3 linked regions of the Canis lupus familiaris genome follow. The protein of the gene in region 2 binds, or shares a complex with, the protein of the main gene of each other region. Links are inferred from orthologs where the notes say so. Each region holds a gene or a part of one and is shown on either strand. Other genes may lie near its edges.

Region 1 (3,555 bases), on a different chromosome or scaffold from region 2:
GGAGCAAGGCAACCTGTTTCTTGATGGCTAAATTCTGCAGTCTTAAGTTTTTGTTCTCTGGAGTGTGCCAAGTCATAGGTTACCGCTGATCAATTAGCTTATCAGCTCCCGACACTGATTCAGATCCCTCTCCTGTTGCCAATCATCTCCCGTCTTCAATGTCTCTCCTCTCCCATTCTCTTTGCTCTTGTTAAATGTATACCTCTTACTGCTTTATTGTCATTTTAGTGGGGTTTGGGGATGGAGCAGAGATAAACACATGTGCTCAACACATCATGTTTAACCAAAAGTTCTAAAATTATTTCCTTAGTCATTCACTGAAAAAATGCTTAAATGCTTGACAGTGCATCATGAGACTATAAGAATAAATAATAAAGATATAGTCTCTACCTTTCTGCATCTCTTAGGCAGCTCTCACACTGCTCTCCTTCCTCTAGGAGGAATCACAGATAACGCACAACTAATTCCATAGGTGCTGAGAGACAGAAGTTCAGGATGACCCAAGGGATTACAACAGGCAGACCTAACCAAAGCGAGGTAGCAGAGAGAATATCGGAAGGGTTTTTTGGAGGACATTACTACTGGCCTAACACCAGTGAATTGTCTAAAGAAAAATTAAGCCTGTTAAGCCTGGTGGAAGAGCTTACCGGCGCTGGATCTGCCTTGCAAAATTGTTGCTGGAAGCTGAGCAGGGAAACTGGACTTCACTGTGTAGGGTTGCATTACGGAAGAGGTCACAGAAGTTCTCAAAGAGCTCTAGAAGCTCATCTGATGTATTCTCAAACACGGCAATCACCTCTGTTGTCACCATATTGTACACCACAAAGAAAGATGCCTGCAGAAGAACAGAGACAGCTATGAGACAGCTGGGTATACAGCCATGCCTTGGAAACCTACCACTTGGTTGAAAATTCAAAGTACTCAAGTAAAACAAGCAAACACTTCTCCTGCACTAGCATAAAAATGTGGCTCCAGGTGGTTCTGGGAGAGGAGGAAGCCTCAGTAAACTTTATCAGCCAAGGGCCATCAGTTATGGTCAGAACTGCTGGATTTACCACCGTATCTGTGCTGCTAGAATTACTGAACTGGCCCACATACATGTGTAGAAAGGTTTCCAATCTTGCATTTCTGACTCTGCAAATTCAATATTTTTCCTTCCTACTCTTTATTCCCCCTCCTTGCTACCCAACCCAGCCTGAAATAAAAAGCACTTTTTTAAAATGCCAGATTTAATTTTCCTTCCTGCTGAGAAAGTGATTGGTAGCCTGTAGCTGCCTGTTGGCAAATTATTTTCTCTTGTATATGTACAGTTGAAAGTTCAATTTAGGGACATTTATTTTCCTTCTTAAGATTTCTAACATGCAGAGAGAAACCTGAAGTACACTGTGTCCTAAAACTGCCCAGGCAAGTTGTAACCAAGCAGGGAACTGCTGCTGAACAAATGAAAAATCAGGGAGGCATTTTCCATTTCTTTCTTCATAAATGTTCTTTCAGCCAAGAGCATTTGGACGATACATTTGAGATTTGTAGCAATTAAGATCAGAGGGGGAACCTGAAAAGCATTCAAATGCCATAGGTGGCAGAGTTTTCTACTTTCTCTGAATGGGCCCTGGGTGACTAGCCCTCTAAACAACCAGTGCTCTGCTCTACCTAACAAGGAAGCCCCAGGAACCCCTGGTTTTTGTCACAATGAATGTGGTAGTGTGAATCAATCGGCAAGCTTGATCTAGAAGTTTCCAGAACATTAAGGTTAGTACTCCCCCTCCTATGACTGAGTTTAAGTCTCTGTCATCAATTCCTAGAGCCACAGTGCCCACCTGTTTTATTAGTCATTAGTCCTTCCCAGAGCTTTCATTACATGACTTTTACAGTCACCTGGAAATTAAATATGGCTGTAAATTAAGGAGGCTGGAGAGTAACCTGAGAATAATACCCATAATATCAGCAAGGCTTTGTATGTAGGTGCACTTTTTACTCATTAACCTTATTGGAACCTCTCAAATTAAAACGGGGAAAGGGGTGGGAGGACAACTAGGGCAAACTGGGTTTAAGGTTACAAACTCTGTAAGCAAAACACTGAGCTCTAGTACTGATTCCAGCCACAATTCATTATAACTACCAGAAATAAGTAGGTCATGTTTTAGCAAAGGGAAGGAGGATAATCTCAAACGCGGCTATCGCAGATAACTTATGCCCTCCAAAAGAAAAAGGTAATTATAGCTCAAACCTAAATAAAAGATTGACTCATGTCCTTTCTATAGACCTGGACAACACTTTGATCATTATCAGGGCTCCACCAGGATCCATCACAATTATGTGAATATAAAATTACACAAACTTTACTAGCCTTCCCTCCAGGACAGACTGGGAAATACAGGACAGAAGGTGAAAGGAGCCAAGAGTGTCACTGACAATCTCCTATGAAACGTAACGTGAACTAGATGCTCATCTGTGATGGCTCAATGGGTGACTTCATCATTAACAGGGAAGAAAAGAATCCAGAAAAACTATCTCCAACCATATTACTCCCTGCCACCCACCTTTGTTTAGAATATACAAGCTATGATTCCAAAGAAAAGTACTGGAAAACATTTTACCATGGATGACTGGTAAGGTCTTAGGAAACAATGGCCTGTACAGTCTCTTGCAATAGAACCAACTGCAAGTCAGTGGGAGATACAACACTCAGCCCTCTTTGTAGCTGACTGGTTTGCTCTCTATTGTGATTTCCCAAATTCACACCTAAGGAGACATTCTGCAAATGGGAGAATAGGTGGCAAAGGTACAGAAAGGTAGGTCTCTTACTCCATCAACACTAAAGTAGAGAGTTTCTCAAAGAAAAATGCCCAAAAGTAGCCTGAATTTCAACATGGTATTTCAACCCAAGAGTCCTGGGAGGTTTCTGTGCCCTTAACACCCCTAGGTTCCCATTTAAGAAATAGCTCTCTCCCCTCCAAGATCTTTCATCCACACTGAAAAACCCTAGGACCTTTGGTCGTGATGATTCACTTGAGAGATCATAAGTCTTGGCTTCCTTTTAATTTTTTCACTGCTCTCCAACCTATGGTCCAGCACATGGGTATGGTCAGGATAAAGTCATAACACTCAACTGTTAGATGAACTTACCTATTAGTTACCTCCCAAAGGTTTTATGAAGACATGCACTGACATTATCCATTTAAGCAGGAAAGAGAGACCAAATTTTTAGAAAATTTTTGTGGCATGGTGGGCTCATTCTCATTCCTAGAACTAAAGAGGTCAGACCAAAAAGCCACAGTCTCAGAAAATCAGGGCAGGGTTATCCACAGGTAGTCCAAATTTTGACCTTGTAGCACTTGGGCTTCTATCTCAAGGATACTGAAAATGCTCTGGTCAAGTATTAGGATAATGATCACAGAGTTGACTACCCACATATCAATGGCTTGAGACTGAGCTTCCATTCATCCAAATAAATACATGTGGCCAGAGAAAAATGGAACTGTTTTAAGTCTGAGGCCAAGGATAACAAAAACTCAAGAATACATAAAATGCACATTTCTGAGAGGCTGGCTATAG
Region 2 (4,355 bases):
ACCCCAACGCATGGGGGTGGCTTGGGTGGCTCGGTCTAATTTCAACTCAGGACCTGATCTCAGGGTCCTGGGATGGAGCCCACATCAGGCTCTACACTCAGCAGGGAGTCTGCTTGTCTTTCTCCCTTTGCTTCTCCCACTGCTCATGTTCTCTTTCTCAAATAAATAAATAAAATCTTAAAAAAACACAAAACCCCAAACTCTTTGTAACAACCTCCTATTTGGTTTGTCACACATTGGTATCACACTACCATGTGATAGTGTTGCCAATTTTAAAGTGTCTTAAATATTTGTGTCTATTTATCAGAGATTTTCAGAGGTTTTTGAACTATTTTTATGAACCCTGGGATACTTACAGGAATGTATAGTGTTTCTATTCATTTCTCACATATATGGAGTTAGTTTATTTATTTTTGGCCAGTTAGCCCTGCTTTACTTGTTTGGCAATTCTTCGTGAATTTAAATTTCATCTCCAGCTCTGAGTTTTCCAGAAGCAAACTCAAAAAAAAAAAAAAAAAAAAAAAAAAGGGTGCTTCCTTCCTTTAGTTTATATACTGACAAATTTTGTCAATGCAGTGCAGTTTTACAATTTAAGAAATTATAATTTTGGAGAGCTATTCCTCCATTTTCTCTGTTATTTTGTTTTTTCACATGCAAAGCTCATTTTCCCCTAAGGATTCCAACTTATTTAGATGAATTTTCACCATTTTGATAGGATATTTCTTTTTTATACAATAGCCTTAATAAAGAAATAACAAATTTTTGATTGGATATGCCTGAAAACAACATTAGGCTTTTTTATGTTATTTTAGCATTGGAATGTGAAAGAAAGTGGTAAGAAATACTTGTCTGTACAATGGCTCATTGATTAAGTATTTTGATACTGATAAGCATTGTTGACCCTGTTATTCCAAGGACACTATTTTAGTCTGTTTGGGCTGCTTTAACAGAACGCAACACACCAGGTGGCTTATAAACAATAGAAATTTATTTCTCATAGTTCTGGATACTTGGAAGTTTAAGGTCAAGGTGCTAGCAGATTTGGTGCCTGTTGAGAATGTACTTCCTAGTTCATAAACAATTACCTTCTTGTCATGTTCTCATATGGTGAAAGGGACAAGGGAACTCTCTGGATTCTTTTATATAAGGTCTCCATCCTCATGATCCAGTCAATTCCCAGAGGCCCTGCCTTCTAATACCATCACATTGGGTGTTAGGTACTTTACATATGAATTTTGGGGGACAAACATCCAATCTATAGTATATACTAATATTGACTTTATGTAGTGTTACTAATTTTGTTTAAGCAATCCTTTGGCACATTTGCCATCACTAAATTATTGTAGCAGTTTTAAACTTAAAAAAATTGAATTTTCTCCATATTTGACATACTTTATCTCATAATTATCAACTATAGTAGGAATTATTGCGTCCATTTTACAGGCGAGAAAACTAAGGCTCAGAGAAGTTAGTAACTTTTCAAAGGTCTCTGACCCAAGTCAAGATTTAGTGCAAGAATGAGATTGAGTTCATTTGAATTTACTCTTTCAAATCTCTTTAAAAAAGCATAACAATCATGTTCATTTTGACAGGTTTTCATGATAGTAATTTTTAATGGTTTCATTTAGAAAGACTGTATGTAGTTGTTACCTAGACAATTATAGGCTTCTTCAGAGGGCCTAATGTAGCAGATGCTCCCAGTGTCTCATTCTTATCCCCTTGGCGCTTATTATGTCCAGGCACACAGCTAACCTCCCATTACTAGCACATGTATGTCTTTATAGGCAACAGGTACTGGGAATTCATGCCCTCCCCCTCCCTTGACGTGTTCATTATTGTCTTCTATATGCCAAATGTATATGTGTACCTTCCCTCCCACCCCAAAATCCATATGTTGAAACTCAATGCCCAATGTAATGGTATTAGGAGGTGGGACTTTTGGAAGGCGCTTAGATCATGAGAGTGAAGTCCTCTATAAAAGACACCCCATAGAGCTCCTTCTGTGATGTGAAGAATAGCTAGAAGGCACTATCTAGGAACCTGAAAAAGTGCTCTCACCAGACTGAATTTGCCTGGGTCTTGATCTTGGACTAGTCTCCAGAACTATGAGGAATATATTTGTTGTTTATGAGCCACCCAGTTTATGGTATTTTATTACAGCAGCCCGAACAGAATATGCCATTCACTTTCTTCTCTTTCCTGTTTTACTTCCCTTCTCCATTAGTGGTATTTTTTTTTTTTTGGATCACCTCCGAATGAACTACTTTCCCTTGAATCTTTATTTCAAAATATGTTTCTGGGATAACTCAAACTAAGACACCACCTTACCTATTTGTTATGGATATTGGAAGTAAACCTAGTAAACCTTATGGCCTGGAGCATCCAATCTCAGGTTGGGGCCCTCTCATTCTGGAATTTACAAAGATGGCTTCTCATTTGCCTGGCCAGTTGTCTGTTCCTTGCTTTTGCCTCCTTATCTATATTTTATTTGACTGCAGACTAGAATTCCCAGTTCCCTGCTCTGACTCTTTCCTTCCTTTTTTAAAAAATTTTTGATTTTTGGCAATGCATTTGGGGCTGACTCTCTGGTTAGTCACCTTATCTACCTAATCTCTTGACACTGAGCATTACTTCCATATATTAGTTATCTATTGTTGCATAACAAATTACTACAAATCTTAGTAGCTTATGATAATAAACATTTGTTATCTTACAGTTTCTGCAGGTCAGGAATCTGGGTGCAGCTTAGCTGAGTGCCTCTGGCTTAAGTTGACAGTTAAACTGTCAGCTAGAAGTGTGGTCTCATATGAAGGTTTGATTGAGGGAGATCTGCTTCCAAATTCACTCATGTAGTTGTTGAAAAGCTTTGGTTCCTGGCCATACAGTTCTTTCCACAGGACTGCCTCATGACATGTGTATTAGTCTACTTGGGCTGCCATAACAAAATACTGCAGCCCGGGTAGCTTAAATGCCAGACGCTTATTTTCTCACAGTTATGAAGGCTAGACGTCCATAGTCAAGGTCTTGACAATTTTAGCTTCTGGTGAGAGTGCTCTTCCTGGCTTTTAGACAGTGGCCTTCTCACCATGTCCTTACATGGCCTTATTCTGTGCATGTATGGAGAGAGAGATTTCTGATGTCTCATCTTCTTTTTATAAGGACACCAGCCTTTATGTCCTCATTTGACCTTAATTACTTCTCTAGAGGTCCCATCTCCAAATACCATCACATTAAGGGTTAGGACTTCAACATACAGACTTTGGGAGAGACACATTTCAGTGTGTGACACAAGGTACAGGAGACAGTGAGAGAGCAAGTGAGAAAAGCATCCATAATGGAAGCCATAGCCTTTTCTAATCTCATCTTGAAGGTGACATCCCATCACTTCTGCTGTGTTCTATGTGGTAGAAGTGAGTGCATAAGTTTAACCCACGCTCAAGAAGAGAAATTTAAACAAAGGTGTGAATTTAGTAGGTGAAAATCATTAGGAGTATACAGGAGAAACTCTCTTGCTTTACTCACACACATAATACTTATGACACTACATACATGGGTCTTGTTTCCCCCACACACCAAGGCAATTCTCTGTGACATCAGCTGGATGTCCTACACTTTAATTCAATTTAATTCTGACTTGCTAGAGTTAGTGCAGATCCCGTACGTTAAGGGCTAAATCCACAAGACTGCTCTCAACTTCAAATACCAATAGTGAGTAGTAAGTTCCCAGGTTACCCACAACTTCTGTATGATTTGGTTACAAAAGAAGTTCCCACAGCCCCCTCCTTGGAGTTGATCATTTGCCAGAATAGCTCACAGAACTCAGGGAAACAATTACATTTACCAGTTTATTATATAATGAAGGATATGATAAAGGATACCTATGAACAGTCAGATGAAGAGATACATGGGGTGAGGTGTGGAAAGATTCTGAGTGCAGGAGCTTTTGTCTTTGTGGAGTTGGGATGTGTCACCCTTTCCAGGAGATAGATATGTAGGTAGAACTTCCAGCCAGGAAGTTCTCTGAACCCCCCCTTCAGGGATTTTAATGGAGCCTTCATCATGTAGGCAAGATCAATGATAAACTCCATTTCCAGTGTCCTTTCCTCTCCAGAGAATGGACAATGTGAGTATAGTAGATATGCGGTGTACCTCCATGGTAGGCTGCAATACCCCTATCTCAGTAGGTTGCTGTGAGAATTAAATAAGGTTATACACATATAGCACCCCAAATTTTATAATTTCTGAGAGCAAGCATTCATGAGGGATTTTACTAGTGACTAACAGGTTTGATTCCTGGAGAGAAGCATTCATGAGACAATAAACTAGGGAAGAATACTAACGTGATTGGGTAGATT
Region 3 (4,173 bases), on a different chromosome or scaffold from region 2:
GGTTAAAATGGGGGCTCTACTACTTATTAGCTATTTAATTGAGGACAAAATGTTTAACTTCCTTGAGTCTCAGTTAACTAGGTAAAACAGCTAATATCCTCACAAGGCTTTGCTGTGAAGATTATAAAGTCATGCATGTGAAGCACAGGACACAGCACATAAGCATTCAAGTTAGTTATGAATTTAGGCTAACTCCATCCCCGTTTGCTTGGCACAATACAGGTTTGCACCTGTTGGCATAAAAAAAGCATCCTGGTTAAGGCAATAAATTATGTGCTTACCTTAACAATGATGATGATGATGAAAGGAGTTAATATCAGAGTATTATATATTAATTATGACATTTTGGATCTTAAAGGAAAAAAATGAACACCACACAAAATAATGTAAGATTACATTCCTGCAAGATATTCTACTGATATTTCATTTAGTTATTCAATGAACATTTAAACGCTATTTATTTAGACCCATCCCACCAACAATGATTTAAAGCAGCAAATTTCTATTTTGTTCTTTCTGTTTTATATGGGTACTGGTAAACTTCAGACATTATTTTAAAAGAGGAAAATTCACAGATAAACACTAGCAGAGTTTCAGTTATTCAGACACACTACCCTTTGAATTCCCAATGAAAAATACCCATTCTCATTATGAAAAATGCCCAACACCAATAAACATATATCAAATAAGCCCATCCAATTACAGGGCCTGCAATACAAAATAAATATTTTTAAACATGCATTCTACACATAAATCATCAGGAGACGCAACAAAAAATAAATTACCTGACTGTTATGACATAGTATTGTAATACAATAAACTGGATTTTAGTTTTCTTCACTCTCTGCTCTAGAAAAAAAAAGAATCCATTATTCTTCCTCTTTCATAAGATACACATTTTCTATGAAATAGACACATCCTCAAAAAAACACATCCTATATATCTTAAGTTACACACCCCATAACCCAACCTAATTAGGATATTTGGGAAGATGGAGAAGGTCAGAGGAAACCAGGAATCTTGTGTTAGATATCAGATTTTCTTTAAAGGCTGAAAGCCAATCTACCTTTTAATATAAGCTTGCTTAAAATAGGCCTTTCTTTTTCAAACCAGTAATATTTTCAGATTCTGATACTTTCAAGGACTTACTTGGCACATTACAGTAGTCTATGGAGAAACTAAAGTATGAAAGATCATCAAGATACTTAGGCTAAAGAATGAAACATTTTTCAGTGCAACAGTTTCCTAAATCATACTTTAAAAAGCATCTGGATTGGTCTTCCTGGGTACTTTATTTTTATAATCTAGAAAACTGATTTTTGGAGGGCTCTAATTGTGCCTGCCTGGTCGCAAGTCATTCAGGATGGACATAACGTACCTGATAGGGTGATATGAGTAATTTTGTCTTTAATGAGGAAGAATCAAATACATGTTTCTAGTAGTAGAAACGACTATAGTACATTTATTTCTTCCTCCCTTCAATCATCCAAAGCGACTGCGGTTAATTCTGATTGAGGAAATGCGGGCTCTTTATTTGCACCAAAAAATTAATGTGGGACCTCGCAAATGGTGGATGACAACCTGATATAAATGCTTCCTCTTGCCCCCAAACAAAAAGAATGACCTAAATAACAAGACTGCTAGGCCTCAGATTCCCAGAGTAACCTGTGGAATAAGTATGGGGAAACTGTCTAGGGAAGGAACGTGGCTGTCTCCTCCATCTTGAAATTAATCAGCATAAGGGAAAAAGGGACTGAGTATTCAGGAAGCAGAAGCCCAACCGGTTAATACTAGTTACTAAAGCTATGGCGTACGTGGCAGGTACCGCCCGCAAAAGCCGAGACCCTTAGGCTTTTCTCTTTGAGGGGGGAGGGGTTGGGTTGTTGCCGGATTGAACGGAAATTAAGTTGAAAATCATTTGGCCCAATTCCCACCCTTACCCAGGGAAAAAACAACACGCAATGGCTTTTCCCTGCCTTTTCAGGGGATCCTTGCAGTGATATCTGGCAAGGGCTATGCCAGGGTTATTGAGTAAGGGAGCAAAACCACAGTTGCCCCGGATCCTCAGGGAAGATGTCATCGTGGCCCCAGGGGGCGCCTAATTGATAGTACCCAGCAAAAGGGCTCAAAATGGGGTTTTGCAAATCCTGGGAAATCTAAGGCCCAAGAGTTCCCAGCAGCTGACTTAGAGCAGACTGATATTTCCCCCTTTTCCCAAACCCAAGCCCGCCATATAAAAGGGGGGATGGGAAGGCGAGGGACGCCTCCAGATAACCAAAGAGAAAAATTTAAGACTATCAAAGATTCTCACGCCTGAGGCCAACACTCAAAAATCGCCTCCCCCAATTTCTCCAGACTGTGGAGGGCCCCCGGCTTTGGCTCGCACCGCCACGGAGAGGAAGTACTACCCACCTCCTTCCCCTTCTTCAAGAGACTGTGACTAAAATGGCAGCGGCGACTACGCCACGGAGCCCCCCGCAGCAATCAGCGCCTGGGGTCCGGAGGCGGTGCTGAGCGTCCGCCACAACGCGGGACTCAGGCCATTTTGAGAGAACACGGCAGCTGCAGCTCCGCTGTCTTTCCCTCGCTCTCCATCCATTTCTCAAGAGGATTTCCCAAGGCTTCACTTACTCGGTTTTAGTGTCGGGTCCGACTCCGTCGGTTTGGCTGCTGCCGCCGCTGAGGATCCTGCGCGCCTCCCCTGCCGCTGCTCTCAAGCCCGCCTCCGATGAGTCGCTGGTTGAGACCCGCCTCTAGCCTAGCGCCTGCTCCGAGACGTTGCTCAGGCAGCCATTATCTTCCCCATTGTTACCAAGCAGCGACAGGAAACGACAGCCCACAACAGGAAGTGATGATGCCGCGTCCCGGCCCTGCAGCCCCACTCCCAGCCTATTAGCCAATCCCAGGCGATTCCTCGAAAAGGCTCGGCGGGAGGAAGAAGGGGGCAGCAGACGACGCGGCAAGGCGGGCCAGCAGTCTGGAAAAGGAGAGCTGCTGTGACGCCCACCATGTGACAGGCCCCACCCTCCTCCGCCATTTTGAATTGTGGCGAGAAATTCGCGTTCTGAGAACTGTGGGAACCTTAGCTCTCCCGTTTTTGAAAACTGAAGAACGTCACCACTTGACTGCTTGAAGCCCTTTTCAGAGAGCGAGAAATGCGATACTAGTCCAACCTGGCGTCAATTCACACAATTGGTCCAGACTAAGTTGAACAGCGTCTTACCTTTTATTCAACATATATTTATCGAGTGCCAACTGTATGTCAAGCATTGTAGTAGATGTTGGGAATACAACGGAAATTAAAACGGACCAAAATCCCAGTTCTTACGGTTCTTTATATTCTACTTTCTCATGGTTCCTAGTACTTGGGGGAGGGACAATAATTACTATATATCTATATCTATCGGTGATAAATGCTGGGGAGAAAAAAGATTCGGAAAGGGGGTGGGGTGGGAGAGTGCTGGGTGGGGGTAAATGGGAATTGCAATTTTAAAGAGTGGTTAGAGATGGCCTCTCTGAGATGGTAATTTTCTGAAATGCTTGAAAAGGGGCGATGATTGTAACAGGATGGGAAAATCTGATAACGTTGGAATTTGTAAAAAGACAGTTAAGGAAGGCCTTTCTTAGATGGTATTAATGCCTGAAGGAAGTTAGGGAACCGACCACACAGCATCCAATTCCTGTTTTCACAGTTAACTTAAAAAAACAATCTTGTCCAAGTTTTTAGGGTGTTTCTGTGTTTCTTTTTACATTTTTTTGTTTTCTGTTTCCAGATAACACTGCCACTACACGTTTTCTCAATATTCTTCCAACAAACCAAACTTGTTCCCACCTCTATAACTATATATAGGCTAGAATATTTTCTTTTTTTTAAGACTTTATTTATTCATGAGAGACACACGGAGAGAGAGGCAGAGACACAGGCAGAGGTCGAAGCAGGCTCGGTGCAGTGAGCCCGAAATGGGACTCCATCCTGGGTCTCCAGGATCACGCCCTGGGCTGAAGGCGGCGCTAAACCGCTGAGCCACCCGGGCTGCCCTAGGCTACAATATTTTCATTTCATATCTTTGCTCTCATCAACTAAGCATCTTCTCAATGACTCCTCTCCCCAGAGGAGTCTTCCCTAACGACGCTAAAATAACAACTTCCCCATCCCCTTAACTGCTTAATTTA

The links.
Region 1: the proteins of UBE2E2 (region 2) and DET1 are in contact, whole or in part, in a cryo-EM structure (PDB 9BJZ), measured with the Homo sapiens proteins. The link is inferred for Canis lupus familiaris from reciprocal best matches to the Homo sapiens genes UBE2E2 and DET1. Residues at the interface, in NP_001357154.1 of Homo sapiens: Ala77, Gly78, Pro79, Lys80, Gly81, Arg88, Ser89, Thr90, Gly101, Val103, Phe105, Phe123, Arg124, Thr125, Arg126, Ser134, Gln135, Gly136, Gln194, Trp195, Arg198, Tyr199, Ala200, Thr201; in NP_001137546.1 of Homo sapiens: Arg258, Phe259, Tyr261, Asp264, Thr267, Val268, Phe272, Glu274, Asp289, Pro290, Phe291, Ile292, His297, Arg298, Leu300, Val301, Trp304, Arg305, Phe319, Phe320, Gln321, Phe323, Asp324, Arg327.
Region 3: the proteins of UBE2E2 (region 2) and RLIM are in contact, whole or in part, in a crystal structure (PDB 6W9A), measured with the Homo sapiens proteins. The link is inferred for Canis lupus familiaris from reciprocal best matches to the Homo sapiens genes UBE2E2 and RLIM. Residues at the interface, in NP_001357154.1 of Homo sapiens: Lys52, Thr55, Lys58, Arg59, Lys62, Pro112, Asp113, Pro115, Phe116, Ile142, Asn146, Trp147, Ser148, Pro149, Ala150, Leu151, Thr152; in NP_057204.2 of Homo sapiens: Ser571, Val572, Cys573, Ile574, Thr575, Cys596, Arg599, Trp600, Pro608, Ile609, Arg611.

What each region holds. Positions count from the first base shown.
Region 1 is NC_049224.1:52,246,097-52,249,651, forward strand, and holds part of DET1 (DET1 homolog), read right to left. Parts: intron 836-3,555; coding exon 648-835; intron 1-647. UniProt on the Homo sapiens protein: Component of the E3 ubiquitin ligase DCX DET1-COP1 complex, which is required for ubiquitination and subsequent degradation of target proteins. The complex is involved in JUN ubiquitination and degradation.
Region 2 is NC_049244.1:20,995,048-20,999,402, forward strand, and holds the start of UBE2E2 (ubiquitin-conjugating enzyme E2 E2), read right to left. Parts: upstream 2,818-4,355; 5' UTR 2,715-2,817; intron 1-2,714.
Region 3 is NC_049260.1:58,047,667-58,051,839, forward strand, and holds the start of RLIM (E3 ubiquitin-protein ligase RLIM), read right to left. Parts: upstream 2,848-4,173; 5' UTR 2,632-2,847; intron 850-2,631; exon of another isoform or gene 786-849; intron 352-785; exon of another isoform or gene 282-351; intron 1-281. UniProt on the Homo sapiens protein: E3 ubiquitin-protein ligase.